Macaca mulatta: one gene and its partner. The main gene of each other region encodes a partner of the protein of the gene in region 2 in a complex. Links are inferred from orthologs where the notes say so. Each region holds a gene or a part of one and is shown on either strand. Other genes may lie near its edges.

What was found.
Region 1: EXOSC2 (region 2) and EXOSC1 share a complex: the UniProt entries of both Homo sapiens proteins name them as parts of the RNA exosome core complex. The link is inferred for Macaca mulatta from reciprocal best matches to the Homo sapiens genes EXOSC2 and EXOSC1.

What each region holds. Positions count from the first base shown.
Region 1 is NC_133414.1:109,495,410-109,499,498, forward strand, and holds the start of EXOSC1 (exosome complex component CSL4), read right to left. Parts: upstream 2,802-4,089; 5' UTR 2,778-2,801; coding exon 2,747-2,777; intron 2,640-2,746; coding exon 2,524-2,639; intron 108-2,523; coding exon 33-107; intron 1-32. UniProt on the Homo sapiens protein: Non-catalytic component of the RNA exosome complex which has 3'->5' exoribonuclease activity and participates in a multitude of cellular RNA processing and degradation events.
Region 2 is NC_133420.1:16,884,254-16,887,897, forward strand, and holds part of EXOSC2 (exosome complex component RRP4), read right to left. Parts: intron 2,146-3,644; coding exon 2,100-2,145; intron 1,564-2,099; coding exon 1,474-1,563; intron 432-1,473; coding exon 366-431; intron 1-365. UniProt on the Homo sapiens protein: Non-catalytic component of the RNA exosome complex which has 3'->5' exoribonuclease activity and participates in a multitude of cellular RNA processing and degradation events.

The sequences.
Region 1 (4,089 bases), on a different chromosome or scaffold from region 2:
CGTTCTAAGCATGGAAGTTAGGACAAACTTACCTTACAGGTTACAATAGCTCCGACATCTGGCAGTAACTGGGACTCTGTTTCTCTTACTACAGACACCACAGGAAGCTACAGAGGGAAAAAGAAAAAAACTGAAATGTCCTGGCTAACTCTTGGGTCAAAGCATTTGTGTCTTGAGAGTAATATAGGAATGTCTTGGTACACAGGTGAGAGCTGGAGTATGCATTCATTTATAGGCCAGAGCAGAAGGCCTTAGAAATTTTAGGAAATAGGAGGACCAGGGGGCTACAGAATGCTGCTAGAAGATGTAAACCTCTAAACTTCTTTTTTTTTGTTGTCGTTGGAGATGGAGTCTTGCTCTGTTGCCCAGGCTGGAGTGCAGTGGCATATTCTCGGCTCACTGCAAGCTCCACCTCCCGGGTTCATGCCATTCTCCAGCCTCAGCCTCCCAAGTAGCTGAGACTACAGGCACCTGCCACCACGCCCGGCTAATTTTTTTTGTAGTAAATCCCTAAACTTCCAATAAGTTTTCTGGTGATTCTCTCAGAATTTCTTGGTATACAACTATATTGCCTATAATCATTGACAATTTTACTTTTTTTGGTTTTTTTTTGAGATGGAGTTTCACTCTTGTTGCCCAGAGTGGAGTGCAATGGCGCCATCTCGGTTCACTGCAACCTCCACCTCCTGGGTTCAAGTGATTCTCCTGCCTCAGCCTCCCGAGTAGTTGGGATTACAGACGCCTGCCACCATGCTCGGGTAATTTTTTGTATTTTTAGTAGAGATGGGGTTTCACCATGTTGGTCAGACTGGTCTCGAACACCTGACCTCAGGTGATCAACCCACCTTGGCTTCCCAAAGTGCTGGGATTACAGGCGTGAGCCACTACATCTGGCTGACAATTTTACTCTTTCCTCCAAAGTTATACTGCTTCTTTCTGTTTCTTATTTTACTGCACAGGCTGAAATTTCCACAGAAATGTTACAAATAGTAGCTACGCTTGTTTTAAGTGAATACTTGCAGAGTTTTCTCTTTGAGCATGGTATTGGCTGTTGGTATGAGACAGATATTTTGAGCCTCATCTTTTAACAATCTCTCCGTTGCTTACAATGCTTCAGCTCTCCTGGCCTTCTTTCAGTTTCCCCAACTTACTAAATTCTTCCCACTTTCAGATCTCTCTTCAACCTATTCTTTTTGCCAGAATTGCACTCTCTCCACCCACCTGACTCTAACCTACTCTTTAGATGATTCAGCTTCAATGTCACTTCTGCTGACTAGGATGGATTTGCCTGTTACATGTTCTTAAGGTGCCCTGTAATATTCTTTCAAAGCAGCCACCACATGTGTAACCATATGCTTATTTGAGCATTTATTTGTTTACAATTTGTGTCTGTGTCCTTTGATAGCAGAAACCAAGTCAGCGCTGTGCCTGACACATGAAAATACTCAAGTGGTATCTATCAAATGAACAAACTCAGGACTGTTAAGGACATTCCCAACAATGACTGAATAGAAAGCCCCTTGAGTCAGACGGCTTAAGTTACTTACTCAAAGCAGAATCGAGGTCAAGTTAGCCAGAACCTAACGGTTCTAATTCTGAATCCTCTTTCTACTGTGCTCCTTCAAATATTGCTTATATGATCCTGAGCTAATCCTGGATCAATCTCTAAAACTAGAAAAGTAGGTATTACGCATTCAACAAACATTTATTGAGGAGCTGCTTTGTGCTAGATACTGATGGTATGGTGGTAGCACCTGCACTTCGTGGAACTTAGATTTAAGCAAGGGAGAAGTCTAGTGGGAAACATACCTGAGTGTCTAATCATATGCTGACATAAGTGCTTGGAAGAAAAGGGACAGAGTTTTTTTGTAAGTCTTTAACAAAACAAACAAAAACAAAACATCCCACAAAACTCCTTTCCTCAATTAGTGGGTCCAGAAGGGCTTCTCTGAGGTGATAATACAGAAACTAACGGAGGTAGGAATTAAACAGGCCTAAGAAGACAGAAGCGTTCCAGATAGATGGCATGTTACAAAGGCTCTGTAGCAGGAGAAAGCTTGGCACATTACCGACACTGAAAGAAGCTAGTGTGTTACAAATTTTTTTAAAAGGGCAAGCCAAAACTGTGATTATAACTTTTACAAATAGAAAAGACTGTATGATTAGATCGCGTCAGTGAGGTGGAGATAGTGGCACTAGAGGTAAGCCGGAGAGGTAAGCAACATTCATACAGTATACAACGCACTGCTGGGCTGAGCTGGGCTAGGTTACTGAGTTCGCATCTGCTTTTGTCCCAACCTCCCTCCCCGAGGGTCAGCAGCACAACCAAGCGAGATCAACACAACTAGTGTGTGGTGGCTAAGTGCACAACAGCGGCGATACGGCTAGAAGAAACTAAGAGACCAACATTGTACCACTAAGGCTCTAAACACGCGTCCGCAGTGCCCATGCCTAAGGACTGGAACTCAAGGGCAGCCTAAGGGAAAAACAGAGAGAGAGGAGACGGCATGCCGCTTCCTTTACCGCGCCGTTCTCGCTGCTCTTCATCAGGCAGCCGGCAAGCGACGAAAAGATGTAGCCGTGGCGGGTGTAGGTGCCGCTGCCCGGGCTGCCCTCCTCCAAGTTACACAGACGTTCGCCTGCAGAAAAAATGCTGCATCGGTCATGGGCCCCCAGAAACTGCAGGCCGTCCAGGCTTCTTGCTTCGGCCCCTATCCAGGACTCTGTACGGGAAGCGCTCACTTACCGGGAATACAGTATCTCACAGGTGGTGCCATGATTGCCGCTGTCCCAAAAGCCGGATGAAAACGAAATCGATTTCTCATTGGCCAAACCCAGGCACAGTTCCGCAGTAAGATACGCGTCAATTGGTGTTCTTTATCCTTGCGTGTAAACTCCATTTCCCAGGTTACCCCGGGACAAATCCGGGGGCGGAACTTCAGCGCTCCATGCTTGCGCCTGCGCGTGTGGTTGAGGATGGGCTGGCGGCAGGTCCGGGTCCGCTGGGTGGCACTGCAGGCGGCGGGCCATGGTGGTTTGGATTGAGCCGGGCCCGGCCGGGGCGCCGAGTCGGAGAGGGTGGCAGTGAGCGGCGGCAGAGGCTGCGGGGCTCGGTTTGGCTGACTGGGGAGTCGGCAGGCGGCAGGTAAGGGCGAAGCCTCGGCCCTTGCTCCCCATCCTAGTCCCTTTTTCTGGGTCGGGCAATGCCCTGGGGCCTTGTCTTGAGTCCAGGTTCCTGCTCTCTCCTCGCCCTGCCCTGCGGGGCTGCGCCCTCCTCAGCCGGAGCGCACCTTGCGAGCAACCGTTACGTTCAGAGCAGGAAGGAAGGAGGTCAAGCGACCCAACTCGTCTGTTTCACAGATGTGGAACCTCAGATTCAGAGACCGGGTTTGACTTGTCCAAAATCTTCAAGATAGAGCCCAAACTGGAACCCGCGATTTTTGACTTCCAGTCCATCGCAGTTTCACCTCGCGGCTGTCATTGAGAAATAAAACCTTTTCCCGGTTTTTGTTTTGTTTTGTTTTTGAAAAGGAGTCTCGCTCTTTGGCCAGGCTGGAGTGCAGTGGCGCGATCTCTGCGCACTGCAACCTCCGCCTCCTGGCATCAAGCGATTCTCCTGCCTCAGCCTCCCGCGCAGCTGGGACTACAGGCGCGCGCCATCACGCCCAGCTAATTTTTGTATTTTCAGTAGAGACGGGGTTTCACTATGTTGGCCAGGATGGTCTCGATCTCTTGAGCCGCCCGCCTCAGCCTCCCAAAGTGCAGGAATTACAGGTGATTCCTCCCAAAGTGAGCCACCGCGCCCGGCCTTTTCCCGGTTTTTTAACTGTAGCTTCCAGTCCTGCGGTCCGATCCTCTTCGCGGCCTCCCATCCCCACTTAAGTAAGCTTTCTCAGGTTGAAAAAGCCGAACTCTGGTTGTGTGGGCCCGTCATCAAAAGATAAGCAGCCCCAAAATAAAGTTGCTACTTTTTCTTCTCAGCGTGTTACCCCAGAAGGGAGGTCTGCACGTGAATAAAATGCTACTCTTTATTGATGTCTGGTATCTCCTACTTGAGATTGCAAACATCCCGAGAGCAGCGTCCTTGTC
Region 2 (3,644 bases):
GCTCAAGCAATCCTCCCTCCTTGGCCTTCCAAAGCGCTGGGATTACAGGCATGAGCCACCACACTCGGCCTGTCATTAATATCTTGATGTGAACAACACCTCTTCCACTCCCTGGGCTAAAAGTTAACATCATTAACAAAAGCCTCAAGCACAGGCTACCATAAGTTACAAGACCCAAAGAAATGACTTAGCAGCAGGTCTGAACAAGAGCTGGGGAGTCAGCCTGAGTTAAGGAGACCGAGAAAGGACACAGCAGAGCCCGACACCTGGTCTAACGGTTCTTCCGTCAGAGACATACAATGGAAGGCCCATTTCCCAGCCCCACAGAAAAGCATGAAGAGGCTGCAGTGCAAAGCACAGGATACACTGATAAGGTCCCCTTCCTGTAAGAAACCTCTCATTGCAAGCTCATCTTCTGCAGATCTTCTCCTCTGAAATACACAAAGAAATGACATTACTGAAGCCAGGTCCTCAGAAAGGTCTCCATCACTTCTTTCTCTTTCACTTCCTTTTGAGATTTTTGAGGCCAACCACAATACTCAAACACTGAGAACTATGGCAAAAGTAGGTAACCCGAGCCACTTGAGGGGAATGAGTGATAATCACGACTTTCCATCGCAAGAGACTTTTCCATAGTCCTCTTCTCTTCCTCTTTCCCTCCCTTCCCTGAGGAGCATTCCAACCCCTCCCAATCTCACCCAGCCAACATTTCCACACTCATCTTCCATGACAGCTCTCTGTGGTCCAGCAGGACCAGACTAACTCCTGCTTGGATATATCTCTGCTCACACATTTCCCTTTATCTCAGATTCCCTGAACTAGTTATTTAAAGTCTCTCCATCCTGTCTTTCCTACGAGCTTCTCTCACTGGAATGAACCACTCCTTTTGTATAACCACAGCTTATTTATTCTTCTACTGCCAGATACTGGGTCAGTTATCTTATATCCCCTGCTGGGGAACTCAGTCGTGCTTGGCACTTGGCACAGAGCTTGGCACAGTAAGCCTCTCTGTAAATACATGCTGGACTGAAGATAAAGGTGAACCATGGTATTTTACAAAAGGCTGTGGCTTAGTTACTGTGGTTGTCTGGAATAACCAAATGCCTTTCAATTCACAAAAAACTAACGTAAAGACAGCTTTCCAAGGAACATCTTCACTGTGCAAAGCTGATACGTCCAGAAAAGGAAAGCTATTAACAAGCAGCATCTAAGAGCTTCTCTCCCCAACTCTCTGTTGGGATCCCACCCCATGGATGTTTCTGATCCTACCGTATGCCAACTGCTCCCTCTTTCGGGAGACCTGGACAGGGTGAAAAGTCTACATACACATCCAGACAGCAAACTTCACAGCAGACAAACGGGAGTCAAAGGGGTAACCTCAGTGTAAAGCAAAGTCCTCTGGTGGAACAAAGGGTCCCACAGCTCCCCCCAGCCCACTGGGCTCCAGTCCATGGCCCCAGCTGTAGCCCTTACCAGCTCTCCTCCAGGAAGGTTCATGGACGAGAGCAGCAAGACCGAATCCAGCCTGGAGTTGGTCTCCACCTTCCACCTCTTCTGTTGAACCTATAAGCCAAGTTCCACACCTGGACACATGCTCCAGGGACAGGAGTTCACATCATAAGTAACCAGTAAGGCTGGGTGCGGTGGTTCACGCCTGTAATCCCAGTACTTTGGGAGGCCGAGGTGGTGGCTCACTTAAGGTCAGGAGTTTGAGACCAGCCTGACCAATATGATGAAACCCCGTCTCTACTAAAAATACAAAAATTAGCCGGGCGTGGTAGCAGGTGCCTATAATCCCAGCTACTTAGGAGGCTGAGACAGGAGAATCGTTTGAACCCTGGAGGCGGAGGTTGTAACGAGCCAAGATCGCGCCACTGCACTCCAGCCTGGGCAACAGAGCGAGACTCCATCTCAAAAAAAGAAAAAGAAAGTAACCAGTAATCCCAAATCGAACAAGCCACATATTTACATCAGAGGCCACACAATAGCCAAATGCAACGAATGCCTTTTTCATGTAACTACAAGTGGAATGACTGTCCCATGAATACAATCGCCAGCCTGCCTCGACTTTGTAAACACCAATCTGATATCGACGTTACCTCTGTGATTCTTCCCACTACAATGTCTCCTACTTCACCAATGTATCTGAAAGATAAAACACAAGGGATTCGTGCATCTGTGAGCAGACTTTCTGACAAGACCACACACCATTTGAGATGTTGGTTTAACAGAGTGAAAGCCTTGAATAGGCGTCACATTCAGCAAATTCATGTAACTATATTGTCTGGACTTATTTTCAGAAATTGCTAACTTCAAACATTCCTCCATGTATAAAGTCTCCATTAACCTCAAACAAATCGCTATTCAAGTAGTTCATTTAGCCAAAAAAAACCCCCTATTTTGTTCAATTACATGACACTGAAAAACATGGACTATTTTCCTGTGGCACACGGATGAGTTCTGCACCAGCCAAAGGAAGAGAAAGGAAATCTGAGCCAGACGCCAACCGCATGAGTCTGCTCATGTCTCTCCCACTCACTCACTGCCTGCTCCTCTCAAGCCCCTTTGCTAGCTCCTCATCCACAATTCTAATGAGACGTACTCGGTGCTGAGGCCAAGTCCTTAGACCTCTTCGCTTTTCGGCCACTCAATCTAATACCATTAAAATACCACTCTGTGCTGTCACTGTGCCACTCTCCTGAATTCCAAATCCTTCTCAACTGCCAGCTACCCAACTCTGCCATTTAGATGACTAATAGGCATTTTCAAATGTATCGCGCCCAAAACTAAGCTTTCCCACAGCCCCCTCCAGTCCTCCGTAGCAAACCGAGGTAGGGGATGAGTTATCCCCATCTCAGTCAATGGTGACTCCATCCCCAGTTGCTCAGGCCAATAAACCTTGGAGAGTTCTTTGATTCCTCTCTCTCTCTCACACACTTCAGGACAAGTCCAGTAGCAAATCCTGCTGGCTCTACCCTTAAAACATATGCAGGAAATAAAAGGCATCCAAATTGGAAAGGAAGAAGTAAAATTATTTCTATTCACAGTTGACTGGGTCCTATGTACAGTAAAGTCCAAAGAATACAAAACCCAACACCTTTTCATGATTTCAAAAAAAACACTCAGAAAATAAAATCTATGTGGATCCCAATCACTCCTCCACCTTCCACTGCTACCACCTTAGTCGAAGCCACCATCACTTCAGATTATGAGTATGGTCCCTAATCCACCTCCCTAAGCTTGCTCTATCCCCCTTCAATCTCCCATCGGCAGCCACAGTGAGCTTAAGTCCAGATCAAGTCCCTCCTCTGCTCCACCCCTTCCAGGGGCTTCCCAGATTACACAAAGTAGAAGCCGAAATGCTTACTCTGGCTACAAGGCAGGCCTATGTCTGCCCACCTCAGCTTTCTGCTCATATCTGCCCCTACTCTCTCCCTCACTCACTCTGTTCTAACCTCACTGGCTTGCTTTCTGGGGCTAATCTTCATTGAATGCTTCTAGGTATCAGGCCCTGTGCTAAATACTTTACATGCACCATCTCACTGAATTCTAAAGAAAATCCTAGGCCAGCCGCAGTGGCTCACATCTGTAATCCCAGCACTTTGGGAGGCCAAGTGGGGGGGAAATCTTCTGAAGTCAGCAGT